Linked DNA regions of Macaca fascicularis. The protein of the gene in region 1 interacts with the protein of each later gene in a pairwise test. Links are inferred from orthologs where the notes say so. Each region holds a gene or a part of one and is shown on either strand. Other genes may lie near its edges. The genes, in order: DISC1, DPYSL3 and PPP4R1.

The links.
Region 2: the proteins of DISC1 (region 1) and DPYSL3 interact in a two-hybrid assay, tested with the Homo sapiens proteins (2 studies listed by BioGRID and IntAct). The link is inferred for Macaca fascicularis from reciprocal best matches to the Homo sapiens genes DISC1 and DPYSL3.
Region 3: the proteins of DISC1 (region 1) and PPP4R1 interact in a two-hybrid assay, tested with the Homo sapiens proteins (2 studies listed by BioGRID and IntAct). The link is inferred for Macaca fascicularis from reciprocal best matches to the Homo sapiens genes DISC1 and PPP4R1.

Annotation. Positions count from the first base shown.
Region 1 is NC_088375.1:17,386,405-17,390,053, reverse strand, and holds part of DISC1 (disrupted in schizophrenia 1 protein), read left to right. Parts: intron 1-865; coding exon 866-1,845; intron 1,846-3,649. UniProt on the Homo sapiens protein: Involved in the regulation of multiple aspects of embryonic and adult neurogenesis. Required for neural progenitor proliferation in the ventrical/subventrical zone during embryonic brain development and in the adult dentate gyrus of the hippocampus.
Region 2 is NC_088380.1:154,298,667-154,302,329, reverse strand, and holds the start of DPYSL3 (dihydropyrimidinase-related protein 3), read left to right. Parts: upstream 1-826; 5' UTR 827-914; coding exon 915-1,295; intron 1,296-3,663.
Region 3 is NC_088392.1:77,896,807-77,900,455, reverse strand, and holds part of PPP4R1 (serine/threonine-protein phosphatase 4 regulatory subunit 1), read left to right. Parts: intron 1-615; coding exon 616-716; intron 717-3,624; coding exon 3,625-3,649. UniProt on the Homo sapiens protein: Regulatory subunit of serine/threonine-protein phosphatase 4. May play a role in regulation of cell division in renal glomeruli. The PPP4C-PPP4R1 PP4 complex may play a role in dephosphorylation and regulation of HDAC3.

The DNA.
Region 1 (3,649 bases):
CTTATCATATGTGCCAGACATTGTTCTAAGCTGTCTACAAATAGTAACTCATTTAGTTGAAAGCTCACAACCACCTTATGAGAGAGCTGTTAATATCACCACTTTACTGATGGGGAAACTGAGGCACAGAGCGGTTAAGTAACTTTGTGGAAGGTCACACAACCAGCAAGTGGTACAGTCAGGGTTTGAACCAGGCAATGAGGAATCAGCATTTGTTATTGTTCCTATTCCTATAGCCTAGCTGGAAGGGGAATGCAGTGCTGGTTTGGAGAACACATCAAGCAGGCCTCCTGTCATTCACTGAGTGAGATGAGATGATGGCCATACATTGCAGCACAGCCAGCTATCCATGGGTCTGCAGCAACAGATCAGTCTTGCAGGGACATGGATAGCCCCGCTAGTGAACATTCACATGTTGTTCAATGAATAGCTAGAGTAAATGGTTGGATCTCATTTAGGGGCATGCTCTGGCATCCCACTTTCACGTCATTTGCTTTCCAGGCCCACTCCAGGATGAGAGTACTGATGTGCCATAAAAGACCAACAGGCAAGATGTTGGAGGGTTCAGGAGCCACCAAAGTTGTGTTCATGCTGACCTGTGGGCATAGCATACAGCAGTGCCAGTTGCTCTGCTAAACCCAGGAGCTGAGATGCTGTGTTGATTTCTACATGTTCCAGGCAAACACTTCCTGAGGATTGTTGGGATTTTCATAACGGATTGGCCCCAGGACCATTGAGCCAGCATGTATCTTTGACAGGTGTACCGAGAGATGACCTTTAAACCTAGGGATGTGCTCCAGATGCAGTTCCAGCTGGGCCAGTAAGAACTGCACGTTTATAGTGCTGTTTTCTCTTTCCTTCCCAGGCGGCCGGGATTGCTTACCACCTGCAGCGTGCTTTCGGAGGCGGCGGCTGGCACGGAGGCCGGGCTACATGAGAAGCTCGACAGGGCCTGGGATCGGGTTCCTTTCCCCAGCAGTGGGCACACTGTTCCGGGTCCCAGGAGGGGTGCCTGGCGAGGAGTCCCACCACTTGGAGTCCAAGACCAGAGAGTGTGGCCTTGACCTGGGAGGCCTCTTGGTTGGGAGCCCTGTTTCCAAGAGCGCAGCAGCCCCTGCTGTGACCTCTGTGAGAGGAACCTCGGCACACTTTGGGATTCAGCTCAGAGGTGGCACCAGATTGCCTGACAGGCTTAGCAGGCTGTGTGGCCCTGGGAATGCTGGGTGGCAGCAAGAGTTTGCAGCCATGGACAGTTCTGAGACCTTGGACACCAGCTGGGAGGCAGCCTGCAGTGATGGAGCAAGGTGTGTCCAGGCAGCAGGCTCTGTGCCATCAGCAGAGTTGAGTAGCAATAGCTGCAACCCTGGCTGTGGCCTTGAGGACCCCCCAACCCCTCCTGGCTCTCACAGTGCCTTTGCCTCAAGCTTTAGCTTTATTCGGCTCTCGCTTGGCTCTGCCGGGGAACGTGGAGAAGCAGAAGGCTGCCCACCATCCAGAGAGGCCGAGTCCCCTTGCCAGAGCCCCCAGGAGATGGGAGCCAAAGCTGCCAGCTTGGACGGGCCTCATAAGGACCCTCGATGTCTCTCTCGGCCCTTCAGTCTCTTGGCTACACAGGTCTCAGAGGACTTGGCCCAGGCCGCCGGGAACAGCTCCAGGCCAGAGTGTGAGATGCATTCTTTACCGGACATGGACTCTGGTTCCTCCAGTTCTCTGGATCCCTCACTGGCTGGCTGTGGTGGTGATGGGAGCAGCGGATCGGAGGATGCCCACTCTTGGGACACCCTGCTCAGGAAATGGGAGCCAGTGCTGCGGGACTGCCTGCTGAGAAACCGGAGGCAGGTGGAGGTCAGTGTCTCCTCCACCTCTGCAGCCCGAGATTGTCGTGAGCTCAGATTAGCACTGGGCAGATGGCAGAAAGTGAGGGGTTCTGGGCTCAACTGCTATCCTCCTAAAAGCTGCAGCAGCTCCTTTTGGAGCTGGCTGAACAAGGATGTTGCTACACTTCTGTCTCTTTGAATTGGACACAGATCTACCCTCCCTTTTGTCTTCTCTGTCACGTAGGTGCTCAGATTTGCTCTCCATTGGGCCGCAGGCTCCTCCACAGGCCCTGGCCTAGGTGAGACGTGGTTAACTCAGCTCAGCTCTGCTTTGAGACAGGAAACTGGGGGCAGGGGAGATTGAGCTGGATGATGTTTAGAAGGGGTTGAGAGATACAAAAATGGGGATGCCCTGTATCAGGGCGATCCTGCTCTTCATCCACTTCACTCATTCCCTTCCATCCTGCTGCAGTGACTGCTGCCTTCCATAGGATCAGGAGACTTCGCTTCTGGTCATTGAACCTCTCCGGCTCTCAGTTTCCGTATTTAGAGATAACACCAACTCATAGGATTGTTCTAAGGCTCAAATGAGAATGTAGCTGCTTTGGAAATAAGGACAAACTGGAGACATCTAAGGCCCAGCCTTATGATGTTGCTGTCTATCCAGTTATCTGAGAGGTGGGTATAGCCAGAAGTAGGCAGGGTTCCTCTACCCACAAAAATTCCCAGAGAAGCCCAGGTAGAGATGCTCTGTGGCTGATCTATTGCCAGACTGTGTTTTAATCCTGGTGGGTGTACATATGTGTGTTTGTGTGTGTGTGTGTGCACATAGAGGTGTGCATGTGTGTGCTTGTATGTGTTTGCATGTGCATGTGTATGTGTGTGCATGTGCGTGTGTTTGTGCATGCGTGTGTGAGTGTATTTGTGGGTGTGCTCATGTGTTTGTGTGTGTGCGCATATACGTGTGCATGTGTGTGCGTGTGTGTATGTGTGTCTGCATGTTTGTGCTGTGTGTGCATGTTTGTGCATGCGTGTGTGAGTGTATGTATTTGTGGGTGTGTGTGCACTCGTGTTTGTGTGTGCATATAGGTGTGTGTGTGTGCGTGTGTGCATATAGGTATGCATGTGTGTGCGTGTGTGTATGTGTGTGCATGTTTGTGCTGTGTGTGTGTATGTGTGTGTGCATGTTTGTGCTGTGTGTGCATGTGTGTGTATGCATGCGTGTGTGAGTATGTATTTGTGGGTGTGTGTGCACTCGCATGTGTGTGGGGATGTGTTCATGTGAGTAGGGAAGTGGAGCACCCACTCATCAGGCATTTGGGAGGAGAATCTGCAGAAGCTCATGCTCATTCCCCGAAAGAGCATCTACCTTCCGTTCTTTATCTGCAGTCTGGTGTTCCTAGCCCTGTCCCTGTTTGCCCTTTTTCAGCCCTCAGGGACCTCAGCCCAGCCCTCTGATTTATTATGCAGAGAGGGATTGAGGCCAGAGCAGAGATGCAGGCTGGTATTCTGGGTGATGTGTGGAGTCTTCCAGTTAGTCATTGCCTAAACCAATGCCCTTGTCTTTCCCCCAAACCCATTCTGAAGGGCCTCCAATATTGGTTGATTCGAATGCATAGAATCTATCCAGTTTCTTAGGCCAGAAACCACAACCATCTTCCACACCTCCCTCTCCCTCGTTCCACATCTGGCCGGCCTCCAAGCCCTCTCAGTCCTACTGCTCATCTGTCTCTCACCACCATGGCCGCTGCCCTGACTCAGATCCTTGTTATCTTTCACCTGGGTTTAGCAAGAGGGTCTACCTTCCTGCGGTGTTTCTCTTCTCCAGTTAA
Region 2 (3,663 bases), on another chromosome or scaffold:
GTGTGTGTGTGTGCGCGCGCGATCTGAAATGTAATTATGAGTGAGGCAAATTAGGGGTGGTAAAAAGCAAATTCTAGAATATTATATAGAAACCAGGAAAGGGCTTACGTGAGTCAAAGGGTTTTTGTGACTCTCAATGAAGTAAGACGACTTCTCTTTCAGTGTGTGTGTGTTGTGTTGTGTGTGTAAGCCAATTCAGGACTTTATGTGAGAGTGTGGGTTTGCAAGGCAGATTCTAGAACTGGGTGTAATTGTGAGGGTCATCCTAAAGATCAGGATGAGGCAAGTCCGGGGTTCTGGGTAGGATTGTGAGTTTGTAGTAAATTTGAGTTTGTATGTGTTATTGTAAATCAGGACTTGGCTTTGAGATGAATCCACCTGGGTCAGCTGGGTTTTTGTGCATGAGGGACGTCAGAAAGCTTTGTATTTGTGAGGCAAACTAGGGAGTTAGTGTGGGTGAAGCAGTCAAGTGCTTGAGTGTGAACATTTCTAAGACGTCTGAATTGCATGAAAGTGTGTGAAGCAAGGCTGTTGCGCGAGCGGGCAGTGTGCGCCTGTGTGTGCGTGTGCGCGCGCGCCAAGTTTGGTTTGTGATTGTGATGGGCACCGACGCTGCGTCAGCCCGGGAGGCCACGTTAGGGTTGGGGGTGCGTGAGGAGGTGCGGCCGGGCGAGAGGTCCAGCGAGCGAGCCAAGCGCGCCGCTACTCCGGGCCCCTGCGCCGCGCGCTAGCTGGCTGTGTGGCTCTCTGGCTCGCTAGGGACAGGCAGGAATCGGAGCAGCACTGCCGCCTCTGGCGCGAAGGCTCAGGCGCCTCCTCCCGCCCCAGTCACTGTGGCTCGGCGCACGCTGCCGGCAGCTGCCCTTTCCGCCTCTGGGGAAGAAAAACCCGCGGGCCGTTTTCGCGCTTGAACCATGGCCTCGGGCCGGAGAGGCTGGGACAGCTCCCATGAAGACGATCTGCCCGTGTACCTGGCCAGGCCGGGCACCACGGACCAGGTCCCGCGGCAGAAATACGGCGGCATGTTCTGCAACGTGGAGGGCGCCTTCGAGAGCAAGACGCTGGATTTCGATGCCCTCAGCGTGGGGCAGCGGGGCGCGAAGACTCCTCGGAGCGGCCAGGGCAGCGACCGAGGCTCAGGGAGCCGGCCCGGGACCGAGGGGGACACCCCGCGCAGGGGCCAAGGCCGGGAAGAGAGCAGGGAGCCCGCGCCCGCGTCCCCCGCGCCCTCCGGGGTGGAGATTCGGAGCGCCACCGGCAAAGAGGTGTTGCAGAACCTCGGCCCCAAGGACAAGGTAAGGGGGCCCCCGTCACTTCCCTGCTTGCCTTCGTTCCTTTCTCCAGCCCTGGCCGCCATGGCCCGGGCACAACTTTCTCCAGCTCACTTTGCACGGGGTTGGGGGACCAGGAGGAGGAAAGGGGCATCCTCCACTGAGCTCTGCGCGACTTCCTAGCCCAGACCCTGGATTCGCGCGTGTCGCCACTTGCAGCATCTTCGTGCAAGCGCGGAAAGAATGCCCAGGTTCCCCTGCCTGGAGCCGCGTCCTTTACCCCTGCCTCCTCGCCGCACTCCTGGGCCATCCGTTCTGGGTGGGTGTGTCAGCCCGGGAAGGCTTAGTGATTTCCAGCTCTTCTCTCTGTATGAGTAGCCAACAGCACAATTGTCTTGCCCCTCTCTGGCCCTAGATTAAATCTCAACCCAGGTCACCAGGGCAGAGGGCAAAGTGATGCTGGGAATATGGGGGTCATCTCCATAGTGCCCGGATGAAAGTACAGGAGGGGCGGTCTCCCCTCTGAGTCTTCAAACATCAGCTGTCCCTGAAACTTTTGGGTGTGGAGCCTCTAGACTAAACACGCGAATCTCTCTCTATGCCTCGCTTCTGTCTTAGCACGCATTTCACATCTGTGTTTGTCAAGAGTGTATTTGTGTACACAGCTTGGCACAAGACCGGGTATCAAGGGGTCCAGCTGCCTCTGCAAGAATAGCATTATATTTTAGAAAATAGACGAGAGTATTAAGAGTGCACATTAAACTAGCATGAGATGCAAATTCCCTGCTGCTCTTAAATGTGCCAAAGCCAATTTCTTCTGTATGTGTATTTTTGAGAAACTTATGTCACACTGAACTGACTGAAGGGATGGCATTGAAATCTAGCTTGCCCTGATTTATGTGTCTATTTCATAGAGAATCAGAGATGTAGTTCAGAAATTGCAGGGCCTGGCAGGGCTGGAGCCTTCAGAGTTCAAACTGAAGCTTTCAGCTGGGGAATAATAGTAATCAGATGCCCTCACCCTTGTCTAGGTAATGGCCGCAAAATCCATCCGCATGTATTATTCTGCACTAATATGGTTAGGAATAATAACCTGAAATGGAAATGTCTGCCTCAGAGCAATTACAGTTAATGCTTATCTAGGTTTTAGTTGTTTTTCCATTAAAATGCAATAAGCTAGTGAAAGAACAGCATCTCTCTCCACTGTTTGATTTTTGAAAGTTTAGACAAACCAACCAACCAGCCTTTAACTGCTAAGACCACCAGGGAAAATAAGTGCTGAAGTTAGTGCTGTTCGAGGATACCACTTGGAAAACAATGTCGGTTTCCTCTGGAATCATTCATTTAGTTTGTGATTTTCACATCATCCTTTTAGTGTGTGTTTCCCCTAAGCCTTTGCTTAGGGGAACAACGCTTTAGGGAAAACTTCTGATATTTTGCAAATGTTTTGGTTGGTACCTAAACTGAAGAAGAGCCCTATAGAAAGGTTATTCCTTTCTTCATGTCTGAGTTGATCCGTATTGAAATGTTCCCTTCCTGACTGGAAGGGGCGGGAGTAGTGATGGAAAAGGTCGGTAACAATTGGTGTGAGTCAGTGCTATTCCCTTTGCTGAAACACCCCTGATGTAAGCCAGATAATATGCTGGGTTTGCAAGATTTAAGAATGGTAACTAGAGAAAGGGAAAATATTCCTCCTTTAAACCTAGCAATTCTCCCATTTTCCTCCCTTTTGCAAACCCTATACTTTTGGCTACTAATTGAGAAATAATAATACAACCTAGGCATCGGCAGCATTTCTAGTGCTACATAGTTATTTGTAAGTTTGGGTTTGCCATCTGCTTCATCCAGGCCATGTTATTATCTCTAATTTGGTTGAATCACACTGTTAGAAGAGACCACAGAGGTTATCAAGTTCTGAACTTGTTGTTTATTCCCTTGAGGGTAGAGATTGTGTATTTGAATTTATCTGTGTGGCTACAATGCTTGGCACATTGGAGGTGCTCAATAAATGTTTGATACACTAAACTTCCTTAATTAAACCATCTGTTTTGCCACATAGCTGGCAAAATGATCATCTGGCCTCTGCTTAAATACAACCATTGTCAGGGAGCTCACTACCTCATGAAGCAACTTTTTGGACAACTTCACTTAAAAAAAAAATTAAGCCCAAATCTGCCTACCTGTAGTTTCTACAAATTATTCTTAGTTCTGACCTCTGGAAATGTAAAGGTAAATATGTTTCCTTATTCTGAGACATTTTAATGATTTTTAGGTATGTGCACTCTTGTATCTGTCAGAAAAGGCTGGGTGATGCCACAGTAACAACCCCCAACTCTCAGCAGCTTAATAAAAAACATAACAGCATATTTCTTGCTCCTATTTGTCCAGTGTG
Region 3 (3,649 bases), on another chromosome or scaffold:
CAAATCAGCTACATAATATTCAGGACTTCGTAGCACATTCTGTCCTTAGACTGTCTCTTGAAGATGTGTGGTCACTCAGTTCACACTTTGGCTTTTTTCCCTGTGATTGGTTTCCATCTGATGTACAGTTAGGTTGGTTTTTCCCCCTTTAAATATTTATAGAGCAGCTATTGGGATACATTTCTTTATTTTTTTTCTCTCAACAAATACTGAATGCCTGCTCTGTGCTGTCACAGTGCCACATGCAGGGCTTACACACGTGGTTAAGAGCATAATTACTGCCTTAAGTGGGGCCATGGCAACAAGGATGTCATATGAATAAAGGGGGGCAAGTCCTGTAATCAAGCTGTGCCCGGCGTACTGTGGGGTTTAGTGTGGCTCATTGATAGACACAAGGAATAAAGATTGCCAGACAAGATGGTGATTCCTGAAGGCAAATGGTGTTATTCAAGGAAAAATAAACTTAATACCAAATTTAAAACATTTAAATACAACTACTACATTTCCTTTTCAGAAGAATTAACCATATTGCTTACAGTCTGTTTTTACACACTCTAATAAAAGAAATAATGTCTGTACCTTGTCCTGGTAAATATTTTTATTTTGTTACTTTAGCTTCTTCATATTGACAAAAGAAGAGAGTATCTTTATCAACTTCAGGAGTTTTTGGTGACAGATAATAGTAGAAATTGGCGGTTTCGAGCTGAACTGGCTGAGTAAGTTCTAACAGTTTATTAGATTATATTTTGGAGGGGTATATATTTACTTCATTTTTACCTTCTCTCAGTTTCATTACTTTGTGTAGATCCAAGTTTCTATGTGGTGTTCTAGCCCTTTAACGCTTCCTGTAATACATGTCTTACTGTCAGTGAATTTCCTCAACTTTTTTTTTTTTTTTCCTGAAAATGTCTTTAGTTCATTTTTATATTATTTTTATCATGGTGAAATACACATAGCCAAATTTGCTATTGATGACATTTAGTACATTCACAATGTTGTGGAACCATTCCCTCTAGTTCTAAAATGTTAACCTCCTGAAAAGAAAAATGCATGTCCAATAAGCATCTACTTACTATCTATGGATTTGCCTATTGTGGACATGTCATGCAAGTGGAATCATACCACATGTGGCCTTTTGTGCTTGGTTTCTTCATCTAACAATGCTTTCAGTTGTCCCTCCATATTGTATCCTCTAGCTGAACTTGCCTCCCTTTTTGTGGTTGAGTAAATATTCCATTGTATGGATATACCACATTCATTTAGTGCATTCATCTGTTGAGGAACATTTGGGTTGGGTGTGTGGTCTTTTGTGAATAGTGCTGCTAGGAACGTTTATGTACAAGATTTAATCCTTGAAATCTGTTTTCAGTTATTTTGAGGTGGATTTGCAAGGCCATATGGTAATTCTGTGTTTAATTCATTGAGGAACTGCCACACTTTTCTACAACAGCTGTACCATTTTACATTCCCATCAGCAACGTATGGGAGTTCCAATTTCTGTATGTCCTCACTAACACCTATTTTCCTATTAAATTTTAAAAATATTTCTAAATTGGCCAAATAATAATTGTGCATATTTATAAGGTATGTAATGATGTTGCAATACATATTGGATAGTGGTTAGATAAGGGCAATTAGCATATCCATCACTCGCTTATCATTGATAGCTGTTCTGATGGGTGTGGAACAGCACCTCGTTGTGGTATGATTCACATTTCCCTAATGACTAATGATGTTGAACACTTTTTCATAAGCCTGTTAACCATTTGTGTATATTTTGTGGAGAAATGTCTATCCAAGTCTCTTGCACATTTTTAAATTGGGTTGTTTATCTTAAGTTGTGTTGTTGAGTTGTAAGAGCTATTTATATATTCCGGATCATACACCTCACGTGTATTTTCAGATGACGTCTTTGCTGAGTATGGGATGTGGGGCTGACAGTTTGTCTTTCAGTGTATTAAAAATGCCTCTCCATTGAGTTCTGGCTTTCCCACTTCTGACTCGAAATGCACGCCTCCTCTTCCGCCATGTAGTGCCGGGATGTGAGTCCAGCTAGTCAGGATCAAGCTGGGCTTGCGTTTTGTCATTGCTGTGGTTACCTTCAGTGTATTTGGGGCTTCAGTTTTCCTCACTGTGGGCTGCCACTACCGTTGCCGTTTGCTGAGGGTGGGAGCTGGGGCACCAGTGGTCTTGTAGTGCGAGTATTCCACCCAGGCTTGAGCTATACCTGCACCCCTGTGTAATGGGTGGGGCCTCCTGTCTGTGCTTGGTCTCGGGCAGGACTTCCTGCAGCTCCTCCTAGAATAAGGAGCGTTAGTTCTCCTCTCCCCCAGTTGCAGCGTTTTTGCTGGCCCACAGGGTAGACAGGCTTTGGGCCCCTCCACCAGCAGGTTAAGCCTTTTGCTTTGTGTGAGTGAAGGGCCCAGTAGAGTGCTTGGTGATTCGTGGCTGTCCGTCAGCCGCTTCTGCCTGCTATGAGACATCGCTCCTGTTTCTCCTGACTGTCTTTCTTGAAGCACCCATGGGAGGCAGGCACCCTGTGGAAGTCAGAAGGTCAGAAGGTTGCCTGGGGATGTGAGCTCCCTGTGTCGGGCACATATGGCTTTGCTTGAGCCACTCCATGCTCGTGCCAGCCACCATCTGGCCCTGGGCAGCTGGCTACAATTCGAGCTGATTTCTCCCCACCCTGTTATGTGCTGGCAGGTGCCCTGTCCCTCTGGGCTCTGCTGAGGGGGAAAGTTAGGCTGTTTGGGTGCTTTGCAACCCCAGCTCTCTGATGGGCTCAAGAAAAGATCTTGAAGTTTATATAGCTTTTTCTACTGTAGGGTCAGTGACATTCTTGCAGTTTTCTGTATTCTAAGCAGAAACTGATGTCCTATTTGGAATTCTGATTTTGAACTTTGTCAAAAAGTACGTGTGTCTGTTTGAGGTTGTATGTTTGTATGCACAGGTGCATTGTCATGACTGCATAATCTACGTTCATGTTACAGTTGACTTCCTGCTTATTAGAAATGTAAATCATCTCGAACATAAAATCTGAAAGGCAAAAGTCTCACATCCAAGGTATTTCTTCAAGGGCATCATTGAAGCCTTCAGGTTAGCTTGGTGGATGTCATGAAAGTCTCAGGGCCCCTCAGATGTGATGGGAAGGTCGCTGGAGGACACCCTCCCTCTGTTATCCCTAGCGAGTCCCTTCCAGGAAGGCTCCTCAGAGCCCCGACAGGTACACAGCAGACTACCTGCCCCTGCGGGAACTTCTTACTGAGAAACTTGATTGTAGATGGAAGCTTCTCAGCACGTTCCACACTGTAACCATGGATCAGTGTGGGCCATGTTCCAGTTGAACATACTAGGAAGTGCTTTGCTCTCTCAGTTCCCATGGATGCAGAGCTCTACGGCTTTTGTTTTCCTTACACTCTACGGAACTTGAATAGCATGTAAGTGCGTTTCCAGATGCAGAGACTGGAGGTAACTGGACAGGAGAGGTCCGCTTAGTCGCTCCTCTTTGCATGTGTTTGAGACAGGTGCTCCGTAATCCAGTATTGCAGATTATTTAAATGAGAACCTGTTTTCATTTGTCTCGCCGATTTTTAAACATTATCTTTTTGTAATTCCTTTTTGTAGACAGCTGATTTTACTTCTAGAGTTA